Linked DNA regions of Sus scrofa. The protein of the gene in region 1 binds, or shares a complex with, the protein of each later gene. Links are inferred from orthologs where the notes say so. Each region holds a gene or a part of one and is shown in the gene's direction. Other genes may lie near its edges.

What was found.
Region 2: NUP107 (region 1) and CETN3 share a complex: the UniProt entries of both Homo sapiens proteins name them as parts of the nuclear pore complex. The link is inferred for Sus scrofa from reciprocal best matches to the Homo sapiens genes NUP107 and CETN3.
Region 3: NUP107 (region 1) and NUP85 share a complex: the UniProt entries of both Homo sapiens proteins name them as parts of the nuclear pore complex. The link is inferred for Sus scrofa from reciprocal best matches to the Homo sapiens genes NUP107 and NUP85.

What each region holds. Positions count from the first base shown.
Region 1 is NC_010447.5:33,020,659-33,024,170, forward strand, and holds part of NUP107 (nuclear pore complex protein Nup107), read left to right. Parts: intron 1-1,219; coding exon 1,220-1,310; intron 1,311-1,442; coding exon 1,443-1,519; intron 1,520-3,512. UniProt on the Homo sapiens protein: Plays a role in the nuclear pore complex (NPC) assembly and/or maintenance. Required for the assembly of peripheral proteins into the NPC. May anchor NUP62 to the NPC. Involved in nephrogenesis.
Region 2 is NC_010444.4:97,590,515-97,594,537, reverse strand, and holds the start of CETN3 (centrin-3), read left to right. Parts: upstream 1-1,217; 5' UTR 1,218-1,339; coding exon 1,340-1,356; intron 1,357-3,154; coding exon 3,155-3,290; intron 3,291-4,023. UniProt on the Homo sapiens protein: Plays a fundamental role in microtubule-organizing center structure and function. As a component of the TREX-2 complex, involved in the export of mRNAs to the cytoplasm through the nuclear pores.
Region 3 is NC_010454.4:6,101,167-6,105,104, reverse strand, and holds the start of NUP85 (nuclear pore complex protein Nup85), read left to right. Parts: upstream 1-1,132; 5' UTR 1,133-1,481; coding exon 1,482-1,514; exon of another isoform or gene 1,515-1,796; intron 1,797-3,480; coding exon 3,481-3,574; intron 3,575-3,938. UniProt on the Homo sapiens protein: Essential component of the nuclear pore complex (NPC) that seems to be required for NPC assembly and maintenance. As part of the NPC Nup107-160 subcomplex plays a role in RNA export and in tethering NUP96/Nup98 and NUP153 to the nucleus.

The sequences.
Region 1 (3,512 bases):
AAGAGAGAAGTAAAGAGGTTATATCTGGCTATAAGCAGGTCCAGGGGCTCAGAAGGTGTCATTAGGTTACTGTCTCTCCCATGCTGTTGACTCTGCCCTCCTCTCTGTGGCGTCATTCTCAAGAAGCCACTTGTGTCAGTGATGGCCACCAGCAGCTCCAGCCTTACATTCTCTTAGAAGCTAGCAATCCCAGCAAAAGAAGTATTTATATCTCCAGCAAGAGTCCTGGGAATGATTCTTACTAGGTGACATGCCTAACCCTGGAGTTCAGAGATGGAATCCACATGACTTACCCAAACCATATGAACTAAATGAGGAAGAACTGGTTGCTAAGAGATAGTGCACCTATAAACATGTATCTTTCTCATTGGTGTATTAAGCTCATCTGGCTGGTTACATTTAACTTAAATATCATGAGTTCTTACTATGGCACAATGGATTAAGAATCTGACTGCAGCAGCTCAGGTCACTATGGAAATGCAGGTTTAATTCCCAGCCCAGAGCAGTGGTTAAAGGATTCGGCATTGCCACGGCTGCAGCGTGGGTCACAGCTGTGGCTCAGATTCAGTCCCTGGCCCAGGAACTTTCATATGCTGTGGATGTGGCCATTTTAAAACAAACAAACAAACAAAAAAACAACATCAGGAAATTGAATGAGTAATAGCACCCTGTCATTATGGAGACTAACAATGTTTTTGTAATGCTTTTACATAAATCAGGGGTCATCAACTTCTTTAGCCCATTTGTCTCTAGCAGAATTAAAGAAGGGCAGAGACCACAGAAGGACATGCATATGGGTAAAATGAAATACCATTACTAATTGCCTACACCATCCTGTGATTAATTATGTAATTCTGTCAAAAATGGCTGGTACTGGAGTTCCCGTCGTGGCTCAGTGGTTAGCAAATCCGACTAGGGACCATGAGGTTTCAGGTTCGGTCCCTGCCCTTGCTCAGTGGGTTAAGGATCTGGCATTGCCGTGAGCTGTGGTGTAGGTTGCAGATGTGGCTCGGATTGTGAGCTGCTGTGGCTTTGGTGTAGGCCGGCGGCTACAGCTCCAATTTGACCCCGAGCCTGGGAACCTCCATATGCTGTGGGAGCGGCCCAATAAATGGCAAAGAGACAAAAAAAAAAATTGCTGGTACTTTTCCCCAAGGCACAAGTGCTTCTCCAGTACTGCATTGGTTATGTCACTAACTGCTCTTTCTTGTTTCTAAAGGCACAACGACTCTGCAAGCGTTGTGGTCAGGCATGGAGAGCTGCAACACTTGAAGGCTGGAAACTCTACCATGACCCCAATGTTAATGGAGGTACTTTTAATAGATTTTATTCTTGGTTTAGCTCTAAGAGGATATTTTGTCAAGTATAGCTTTTGTTTTTAGACATTGTCAAAATAAGGAAATCTCATTTTAAACTATAAACTTTCTTTTACTATTTTGTAGGAACAGAATTAGAACCTGTTGAAGGGAATCCTTATCGATGCATTTGGAAAATAAGTTGTTGGAGGATGGCAGAAGATGTAAGATATATATTTACTGATACTGATTTTTACTCTTAACTCACTGAAGGTCTGCTGAAGACACTGTGAAACATTTGAGAGTAAATAAAAACTGAATTTCCTGTTTTCAAAGAGCTTCCAATCAAACTTATAAATAAGGGTGGGAAGGCTTACCTACTAATCAGAATTATTCAGACACTAAGAATTAAACACTGATAAAAGGCAAAAATACCAAAAAAAAGTACCAACCAAATCCATAGAATAGGCATTGGGCTGGCTTCCCGAGAGAGTATAGAATTGAACTTTTAAAAATTAGTAGGATTTGAGTTGTTGGAAAAAGCAGAGGAAGGAATTCTAGGTAGGATGCCTAGGTTGGGAAACTCAAGGGCAGGCAAGTTTACCAGGTTAGGGCAGAAGGCTCACAAAAGGAAATATGATCAGTTCTGTTATGACATGACCTATGCATTCCTAAGAATCATTACAGCATGAAGAACTGTGCAGAAAACCCACAGGGCTTTTAGGGGAAATGGAGTTAAGAGCACTGTACTCAAAAAACATCCATGATACATAAAAAGATAAAAACTTAAATGCAGTAGCACAATTATACGCTGTTAAACAGTTATGAAATACATAAACACTGCAATAAATATGGCACTTTACCTTGAAATAGAACTGAGGTTTGCTTGTGGAATTGGGGTGTCAGAGTTGCAGCAAAATTGTAACACTTGCTGTAGGTGAATTTAGCTTTTAACACACTTGGAGAACTCAGGAAGCTGGTAGGTGTTTGAGGTGTGTCAGTTTTGTCTATTTCTAAGTAGTTTGGTTCAGCTAGATAGAGTTTTCTGCATTCAGCTCGTGTGTCTTATACACAAAATTGGGCATAAGCAAATGGGAAATTTGTACTATGTTCAGATTATTCCTTGAGGAATTCCCACTGTGGTGCAGTGAGTTGAGAATCCAGGGGAGTTCCCATTGTGGCGCAGTGGTTAACGAATCCGACTAGGAACCATGAGGTTGCGGGTTCGATCCCTGCCCTTGCTCAGTGGGTTAACGATCCGGCGTTGCCGTGAGCTGTGGTGTAGGTTGCAGACGAGGCTCGGATCCTGCGTTGCTGTGGCTCTGGCGTAGGTCGGTGGCTACAGCTCCAATTCGACCCCTAGCCTGGGAACCTCCATATGCCGCGGAAGCGGCCCAAGAAATAGCAACAATAACAACAACAACAACAACAACAACAAAAAAAAGACAAAAGACAAAAAAAAAAAAAAAAAAAAAAGAATCCAACTGCAGTGGCTCAGATTGCTGTGGAGGCATGGGTTTGATCCCCCGCCTGGTGCAGTGGGTTAAAGGATCTGGCATTGTCCCAGTTGTGGCTTAGGTCAGAGCTGCAGCTCAGATTCAGTCCCTGCCCTGGGAATTTGCATATGCCGCTGGAGCAGCCATTAAAAAAAAAAAAAAAGCATTCCTTGATATGTCAGTTGCATTGGAACAAGTGCCCGTTTTCAAAACAAGCATTTTAGCAGAACTGACTGTAATGGGAAATATTGAAAAGGGTGAATTAAACGCAGGCAGTGGTGGCCCTCACGTGCTGTTCTAAGGAATGAAAACTTTATACCATAGATAGTGGTGAGCCATCAAAAACCAAGAGGGCGGAGTTCCCTTCATGGCGCAGTGGTTAATGAATCTGACTAGGAACCATGAGGTTACAGCTTCGATCCCTGGCCTTGTCTGGGTTAAGGATTCAGCGTTGCTGTGAGCTGTGGTGTAGGCTGGCGGCTACAGCTCCGATTAGACCCCTAGCCTGGGAACCTCCACATGCCACGGAAGCGGCCCTAGAAAAGGCAAAAAGACAAAAAACAAAAAACAAAAAAACCCAAGAGGGCACATGACAGCAGTACTTTAAGATTAGCATGGCAGTGGAAGATAGGCTTAAAGTTGAATGGACTAATAAAGGCTGAGACGCTAGTTAGGAGCCTGTCAGAATTATTCAGACACTAAGTAATGAGGGCCTGCCCCA
Region 2 (4,023 bases), on another chromosome or scaffold:
CTGCCCTTTGTTCAAAAAACAACAACAACAAAAAAAAACCCAAAACCCCAATGACAATAAAAAACTTCCTCTATATCCTTATTCCCCCCTACTCCCGCTGCAGAATGTTTTTTTCTGGGTTACTTCAGATGTTTCCTCCTGGGCTTAAGACCTGATTTTGCCCCAAACAAAACTTAACTTTTAGGTTGTGCATTTTTTTTTTTTTTAAGTCAACACATTCTTTACTTATCTAAATTTAGTTCAAACTTCTAGGCCTAACATAAATGCCATCTCCTTCAAGAAGTCTTTCTTCTATCCTGCTGTGTTCTTTCCCTTCTATATATATCTTCCCCCTTCCCCTGTTGGACACTCTCAGGCTATTTTATGAGATTTGCAGTTTAGCTCAGTACTTTGTGAGTTTCCATAGCAAGATTCCATTCAATACAGCAATATTTATTGAGCACCTCTGCATCAGACATTGTACTAGGCCTTAGGAATAGCGTTAAATGAAACCCCGGCCTTCAAGATTAGTAGGAGAGACGAACAGGTAAACACATTAAATACCCCAGTGAGCTTCAAGAGACTTGGTTCGGTAGTGAAGTACCAAAGCACCTCAAAGGAGGTATAGGGGAGCAATTGCCATCTAGGCACAGCTTCACCGTAAATAGCCTAATAATTCAACCCAGTGATTATAAAGGTATAATTAACAGCTCCTGCCTCAGAATCATTTGGATTTTGTAAGGAAAAAGAAAAAAGGCAGATTCACATCTACTAGAATCAGAATGAAGGAAAGTGACACTTAAATCTGAGTTTTAAACAAACTCCCCATGTATTTAAATCATCCAAAATTTAAGAATAGAGTGGAGCCAAATTTCGCAGATCTCATTCACAAGCTACTTCCTCCTCCTAGCAGGACAACCTGCGGGGTGTCTCTTCCCTTCCTGCGCCGTTTCCAGACGTCGTCCACATGCCGCAGGCCTTCTCTCCTGAGGCTTTGGTCAGTCACCCTCAGTCCGAAAAGCCCAGCGGACACTCAGACCCTCGCTCCGCAAAGGATTGGAGGGGGTGGGGGCTACGCTACAGGTCAACCTAAAAGGCGGGAGGGGCAGCAAGAGAGCCGAAAGGGAGAGCTCTTTGATTGACGCGAAAAATGCCCAATGAGAGAAGAGGACTAGTGACGCTTCCGCCCTAATGGGCAAGGCATTAGCTATTTCAACCAATCCAGCTCAGAAATGTCTACCTTGTGGGAGGTCTTGAGGCTGCTTAGGTCGTTGTCTGTTGAACCGCTTGTGGAAGTCGTTCGGCTTTGAGTAGGGGGTTAAAGTCGTTCTCGAGAGGAAAGTCTCTGGCCGAAGAGAAAATGAGTTTAGCTCTGAGGTCGGTAATGAGGAGGCGGCAATGCTCTCCACACCACGCAGCGGGCCCCAGGGTGGGTGTGTGTGGAAGGGAGGCAGCTTGGGGCGAGGCAAGGAAGGGAATGCAGTTTGGGACGAGGGAAGGGAGCCTTGGCCACCTTTCCTGGGCCAGACTCCTCATCTTCGGGGCCCGGGTGAGCTCCGTGCAGTTAGACGGTCATTTCTGTCAGGCCACTGGGCTTTGGACCCCAACAACCTGGGTTGTTATAGTCTCGAGGAGGCAGTGAAATATCGCGAGGTTTCTACGCTCTTGTTTATGTGAACTAGGAAACCAGGCCTTGGAGCATCCTTAGTAAAGTTCCCGTCATTCCTTCGCTTATGGCCTCCACCGCAGCTCCCTTCCTGCTAACATCTAACCCGTAGATTTTAGAAATAACGTAAAGCCCTCCTTGCTTCACTATGTAATAGTAGACCCATTTTAGTGCTTTTAGTTGGTAATCTCTTAGATTCCCTGAGTTTATTTTTCGCTCATTTCCAACCACTAACCTACCATTTGTTGCCTACTTCCCAACTCCGACTAGGCGTGTTACCGTAAAAATACCTATAGAGTTACACCTAACTAAAAAGGTACCGAGTTCTGATAAGGCATAATCGTGGTATCCTTGGCTGGGGTCAGTGGTCGGTGGTTTGCGAACTTGTCCTCTCAAAATCTTGGGAAAAGAATGGCCGACCCCCAGAACGTCCAGGCTTGTGTGAAGTGGGGTCTCCTGTGAAAGCAAGATCTACCTCAGCTTTATCATATCTCTTTTGGTCACTTTCTAGTCATCTCTTGCCTTTTGTGTGTGTGTGTGTGTGTGTGTGTGGTAGATTTCAGAGAACAAAGCAACTTAAAATGCAAACAGATAACGTGTCTAATAAAATCAACTGGGTTTTTACATTTTCTAAGTTTTACAGAATTCTTCTGCTTCAAACTTGCAACCCTATTTGAAAATTTGGAACATCTCAAGATATTTCTGGCTTTTACAATAAATTCCTTTTTTTCTTCAGCCTTTTTCAGGGTTTATGAAAAATTAAATCCAAATGTATATGTTAAGTGAGATTTACAAGACAGTTGACTCCACATTATTATATAGCGTTAGCACAAATATGTACTTTTCTGGTGTTTAATAGTATGCTTAGGCTAAGTTTTTTGGGTGATTGTTAATAATATCAGTGGGAGAAATTGCAAATAAAATGCCAAACTTAAAAATGTGTAATCTAAAAACACTTTTGATCCACAATGCCAAAAGAGTTTATGTTAATTGATGAGTTAGATGTCTTTTTGTAGTAATTTTGATAGTTATTAACACTATAAAAGTAAGCCTAATATGTAGTGATCATCAATTGTGAATTCTTTTTTTTTTTTTTAACAGACATTGTAAAACGAGTAACTATGGGTGCTTTGTTTTTTTGGGGGGGTTCTGATATAAAACTAATGTTTCTTATTCACATTTCTTGTTTCTTCCATAGTAATATTAGTGGAAATAAATAAAAAGCCAGGAGGAAGGGAAGTAAGGTCCTCATTTCTTTAATAACTTAACACTTTTCAGTTTTAGGAAGCACAAGTTTATAGCACCTTAGTCGATGGGAAGAGCAGGGCTTTGACTCATGTAAGGAAAATCTCTTCCTTTCATGTAAGGAAAATACTTCCTTTTTAGAAATTTAGGTATTTATTAATTGGCTAATTTTTTGTATTTTTGGATTCTTATTTGAGTCATTTAGAAGCATAGGAGAATGGGATTAAAGTGCAATAAATAGGGTTTTCTGTCTTCATTTCATAGAAATGAGCTTGTAGTAGACAAAACAAAAAGGAAAAAAAGAAGAGAACTCTCTGAAGAACAGAAACAAGAAATTAAAGATGCTTTTGAACTATTTGACACGGACAAAGATGAAGCAATAGATTACCATGAATTAAAGGTAATATACTCGACCTCTATCTGTTAAAATGATTTGCATATTGACAGTTGATTAAAAATATATTTATAAATATTTTAATTTGGTTTTGGAAATATGAAATCATTTTAAACATTTACCATTAAGTGCTTTTAATAAAATTGAATAGTACTTGTAGCATATCTTTTTAGAAACTCCTTCTCATATGGTAAAATGAATAGTATAATGTAAAAATACATTCCTATGGAGGGGCTTATTTTTCATTCACGTAGTTAAAAAAAATAAAGCTATGGTATTTAAACTATACTTACCGTATTCCTCTTCCCACTTTGGTGTTTCTTCTTTTTTGGTGACATATTTTTCAGATTGAGGGAGTGTTACTCGTTTTTTAATTTGAACATGTTGGTAACAGTCTCATCCTGTTTTCTCTGGTGCAGGAAACATAAGTGATATCTGATGTTGACACAATGCTAATGGGGAAAGTGTCAATTTTAGGTTCTAGAAATATTTATAAAGAATCAAAGGGGAATTGGTATTTAAGGTAGGTTGGATCTTACACTCAGCACAATGAGGAAGATAGTATTCTTATAGCTCTGTACTCACAGTTTCTTTTAGTTACCCAGTTTTGATCAATTCTTTTTTTTAATAATGTTTCTTCTATTTGTTGCTATTGTTATTATATTGGTTTGGGATCTTAATTCATATCTGAAACTTCCTAATTGGTTTCTCTTTTTCCTGTACACTCTCATTAAATTCA
Region 3 (3,938 bases), on another chromosome or scaffold:
TTAACCACTGAGTCATGACTGGAACTGCTGCTACTGAATATTTATTTTACATTTGGAAAATACTAAGCCTCTTTTTACCCGCTAAATATGGATGTGAAGAAGTTCCCATGTGGCACAGTGGGTTATGAATCCGGTGTTGGCCGCACCTGTGGCACGGGTTTGATCCCTGGCTGGAGAACTTTCACAAACGTCAGGTGTGGCAAAAAAAGAAAAAGGACATGAATGCATAATTTCTCATAGCCACACTAATAGTGTCAGAAACATCAGTGAAACCCCGAGACATTTAGAAAAAGCAGCAAGACATAGATGGCAGATCAGTTTGGAGTTTGTGCAAAACAACTTTGAATTTCATCCTATGGATGGCTGCCTTCAGAAGGATTTGGATAAAACTGTAATTGCCACAAGATTTTTCATCCTTTCTTTAACAGGGTGTATCTTAAAAGACCAGCTACTGGGTGACTGTTTTCCTAACAGATATCTTATCCCAAGACATCTTATTTCCACCATTCGAATAGGTTGTTCAGAATCAACTCAAGAAGTGCTTCCCCAAGTAAAATACTGAAAATTTGTCTTGTTTTCAGATCGAATTTCTTTCCTAGATAATAAAAAGTGCTACATTTTCAAGCACTGTTTTCGAAGGTTTATCTTCAAATTTCTTATTACCTTCGTTAAAAAACTCGCTTATTTGGGAATTTAGAACCAGTACTATTCCTTGTATGTGTATGTACTTGTATACATGGCATTTACAAAATAACTCTTTTAGGTTACTGGAGCACTTTTGAGGTTTCCCATAACAAGATCTGGGCTCCTCTGAGTGTTTCTTCCTGCTTTTCTTTGGTGAGATAACAAACCAACATTTGTGTTCAATTAAGCTCGGCGGTCTCGATTTCAGCTGTTTCAATTTTGTGCCCACGCCTCTTGAGGATTTTGCTGTGGAAGTGGCGGCGACTGCCTTCGTACACAAGCCGGATGGACCAACTGTGCTCGCCTGCCATGAACACGGCTCAGAGGAGCAACCGCGACGGCGCTAACCCGCAGACCAAGCAGCAGCGGAAAGCCAGGCTCGGGAGAGGCCGTGGGCTCGTGCTCGTCAGAAGCACGCCGAGCGCTGGTCTCAGCCCGCGCATGCGCGGCCGCAGCACCGCCGCTCCCGCGGGCTCCCGGGGTCTTCTCTCCGGCCCGGCTTGGGGTCGTCCACGGCGGCGCCTGATCTGGAGAGAACGGTACTTGGAGGGTAGACTGACCCTGGCGCTATTTTCCCTGTCGTGCTGTCGAGGCCAGGAAGGAGGGACACGTGTATAGTGCTGCACAGGGGTGGTCGCGGCCAAGAGGAAAGGCCCCTGCAGCGCTGGGGGATTGGGCCTGCAGGCAGAGCAGGAGGCGCTCGGAGGGGGTCCTTTCTCGCAGCGGGTTCTGAGCGGGAGGCCCGAGCCGCGAACATTTGCGGCCCTGAGAGATCCAGGCGGCTGTGGTGCGGCGCAATGGAGGAGCTCGATGGGGAGCCGACAGTCACTGTAAGGGCGCCCCCGAAAGTATTGTTTGCCTTCAGCGGTTTCGTCACTGCAGGGTTGTCCACTTCTCGGCCGCCTGCAAGGCGCTCGTCCCCTTCCCTCAGATTAATTGCCACCGTCCGGAAGTCACATCGCGAAGCTGCCCGAGTTTGGGTTGCGGTGGTCGCTGGGTTTCTGCCCCTTTGTATATTCCGAGTACGTGGTCCTGGAGGCCCCGCTCCATGCCTTTAACGAGCAGGTTCGAACTAAGCAGAGGAACTGGAGCCTTTTTGTCTCCCAACCGAAGTAGGTTTCCCATCACAGTGCCCGGTTTCTGCTTCAGCTGGCCCAAGGTTTATTAAACGTATTTATTCTCTCCGGAGACTATTCCTGTTCTTATTGCTGTGTTTGTTTTCCAATTCTGTTTGAACTCTCAAAAGACTATGTCAGATGTGGATGATTTGTGATGTTTTACAAAGAGATTCAGGGCTATTAGACAGGAGTTATTACCGTTCTCCCTTTTTGCTGGGATGCTCTTTTCTCCGTTAGAGTTATATCCTACCCGTTGTTTTTTTTTTTTTTTTTTTTTTTTTCCTCTTCCTATATATAAGCTCCTGCATTCTTTGTCAGAAAAGCCTCACTTGACCTCCCTAACTAGGTCAGATAGTTTTGTACGTTTAAGCTTGTTCTGCATCTCTTAGCTCTTGGTAGCTTGTAAGCCCCACTAAACTGCAATTTGCTTGACCTTGTGTTTTTGCTTTTTAGAAAGTGGAGGTGCCTTCAGCTTTCAGCAAAAAGCTTGCAATGCACTGTCTGACAAAACCACAAAATAGATGTCATTTTAAAGCTAACTGGACAAAAAGAGACAGTTTTCTTTTAAGGGCTGCAGGTGCTTCATATGGAAGTTCTCAACTTCAGGCAAGGGGTCCTATCAGAGCTACAGCTGCTGGTCCAAGCCACAGCTACACCAGATCTGAGCTGCATCTGTGTCTGCAGCCTATACCATAGCTTGAGGCAACGCTGATCTTTAACCCATTGAACAAGGTCAGGGATCAAACCCACATCCTCACGATGTCAGTCGGGTTCATTTTCCTGAGCCACATTGGGAAGGAGACATGAAATCTTAAATAGCAGTTAACATGGTTTGTTGCTCGCTAGAGGGTTAGCTTTATGTATAGATATATATGTGTATGTATATATATAAGTGAAAATTTAAAAAATTTCGTTTTATGACTGCACTTGTGGCATATGGAAGTTCCTGGGCCAGGGGTCGAATCAGAGCTGTACCTGAGGCCCATGCTGTGCCACAGTCACACAACACTGGATCCGAGCTTCATCTGGGACTTGTGCTGCAGCTTGTAGCAATACGGGATCCTTAACCCAACTGAGCGGGACCTCCACAGCAGGAACTCCTCAATTCCTTTTAAGTTTGTTAATTTCCCTTTTTCTCAACTAGAGATCATTAAATCATAATAATTTTTTTTTTCGTCTTTTTGCCATTTCTTGGGCTGCTCCCGATGCATATGGAGGTTCCCAGGCTAGGGGTCGAATTGGAGCTGTAGCCGCCGGCCTATGCCAGAGACACAGCAACGTGGGATCCAAGCCGCATCTGCAACCTACACCACAGCTGACGGCAATGCCAGATCCTTAACCCACTGAGCAAAGCTAGGGATCGAACGCACAACCTCATGGTTCCTAGTGGGATTCGTTAACCACTGAGCCACGACGGGAGCTCCATTAAATCATAATAATTGATTAGGGAGTAGCTTTCCTTTTTATCAACATTTGTGTTGAGATGGCTAGCAAAACTCAGGAGCTCATTTAGGGTCTAACAGAGTGGGCTGATCTCAACCACATTCAGGTGTGTTCATTGGTTATACTTAATAACTCTCATGACCCTTGATTTCTAGGGTTAGATTTACAAGTCAGTTGAAGGCAAAACATTAAGAAAGAATAACAGTTTTTGTTCCTTATTATTTTCTTTTACTAGTTGATTCCAGGAGTGAATTCCCAGAAGAAGCAAATGTGTTTTGACTGGGGTCCAGGGGAGATGCTGGTATGTGAAACCTCTTTCAACAAAAAAGGTATTTAAAAAAAATTTTTTTTTTGTTTTAGATTATCCATTGGGGAACATTTTTTTTTTTCTTCTCTCAGATTTGACTAGCTGAGATACAAAACAGTTGAACTTACTTTATGTCATTTTCATTTTTGAAAATTTTTAGCTGCTTAGGATTTTCATTTACTTATGATACTTGGCACATGTTGAGTCTGGGGAAAAAAAAATTAACAATGGTTTTCCTAAAGAAAGGTTTTTTTTTTGTTTTTGTTTTTTTGGCTTTTTAGGGCCACTCCTGTGGAGATTCCCAGGCTAGGAGTCTAATTGCAGCTACAGCTGCCGGCCTACACCACAGCTCATGAGTGAGGCCAGGGTTCGAACCAAAACCTCAT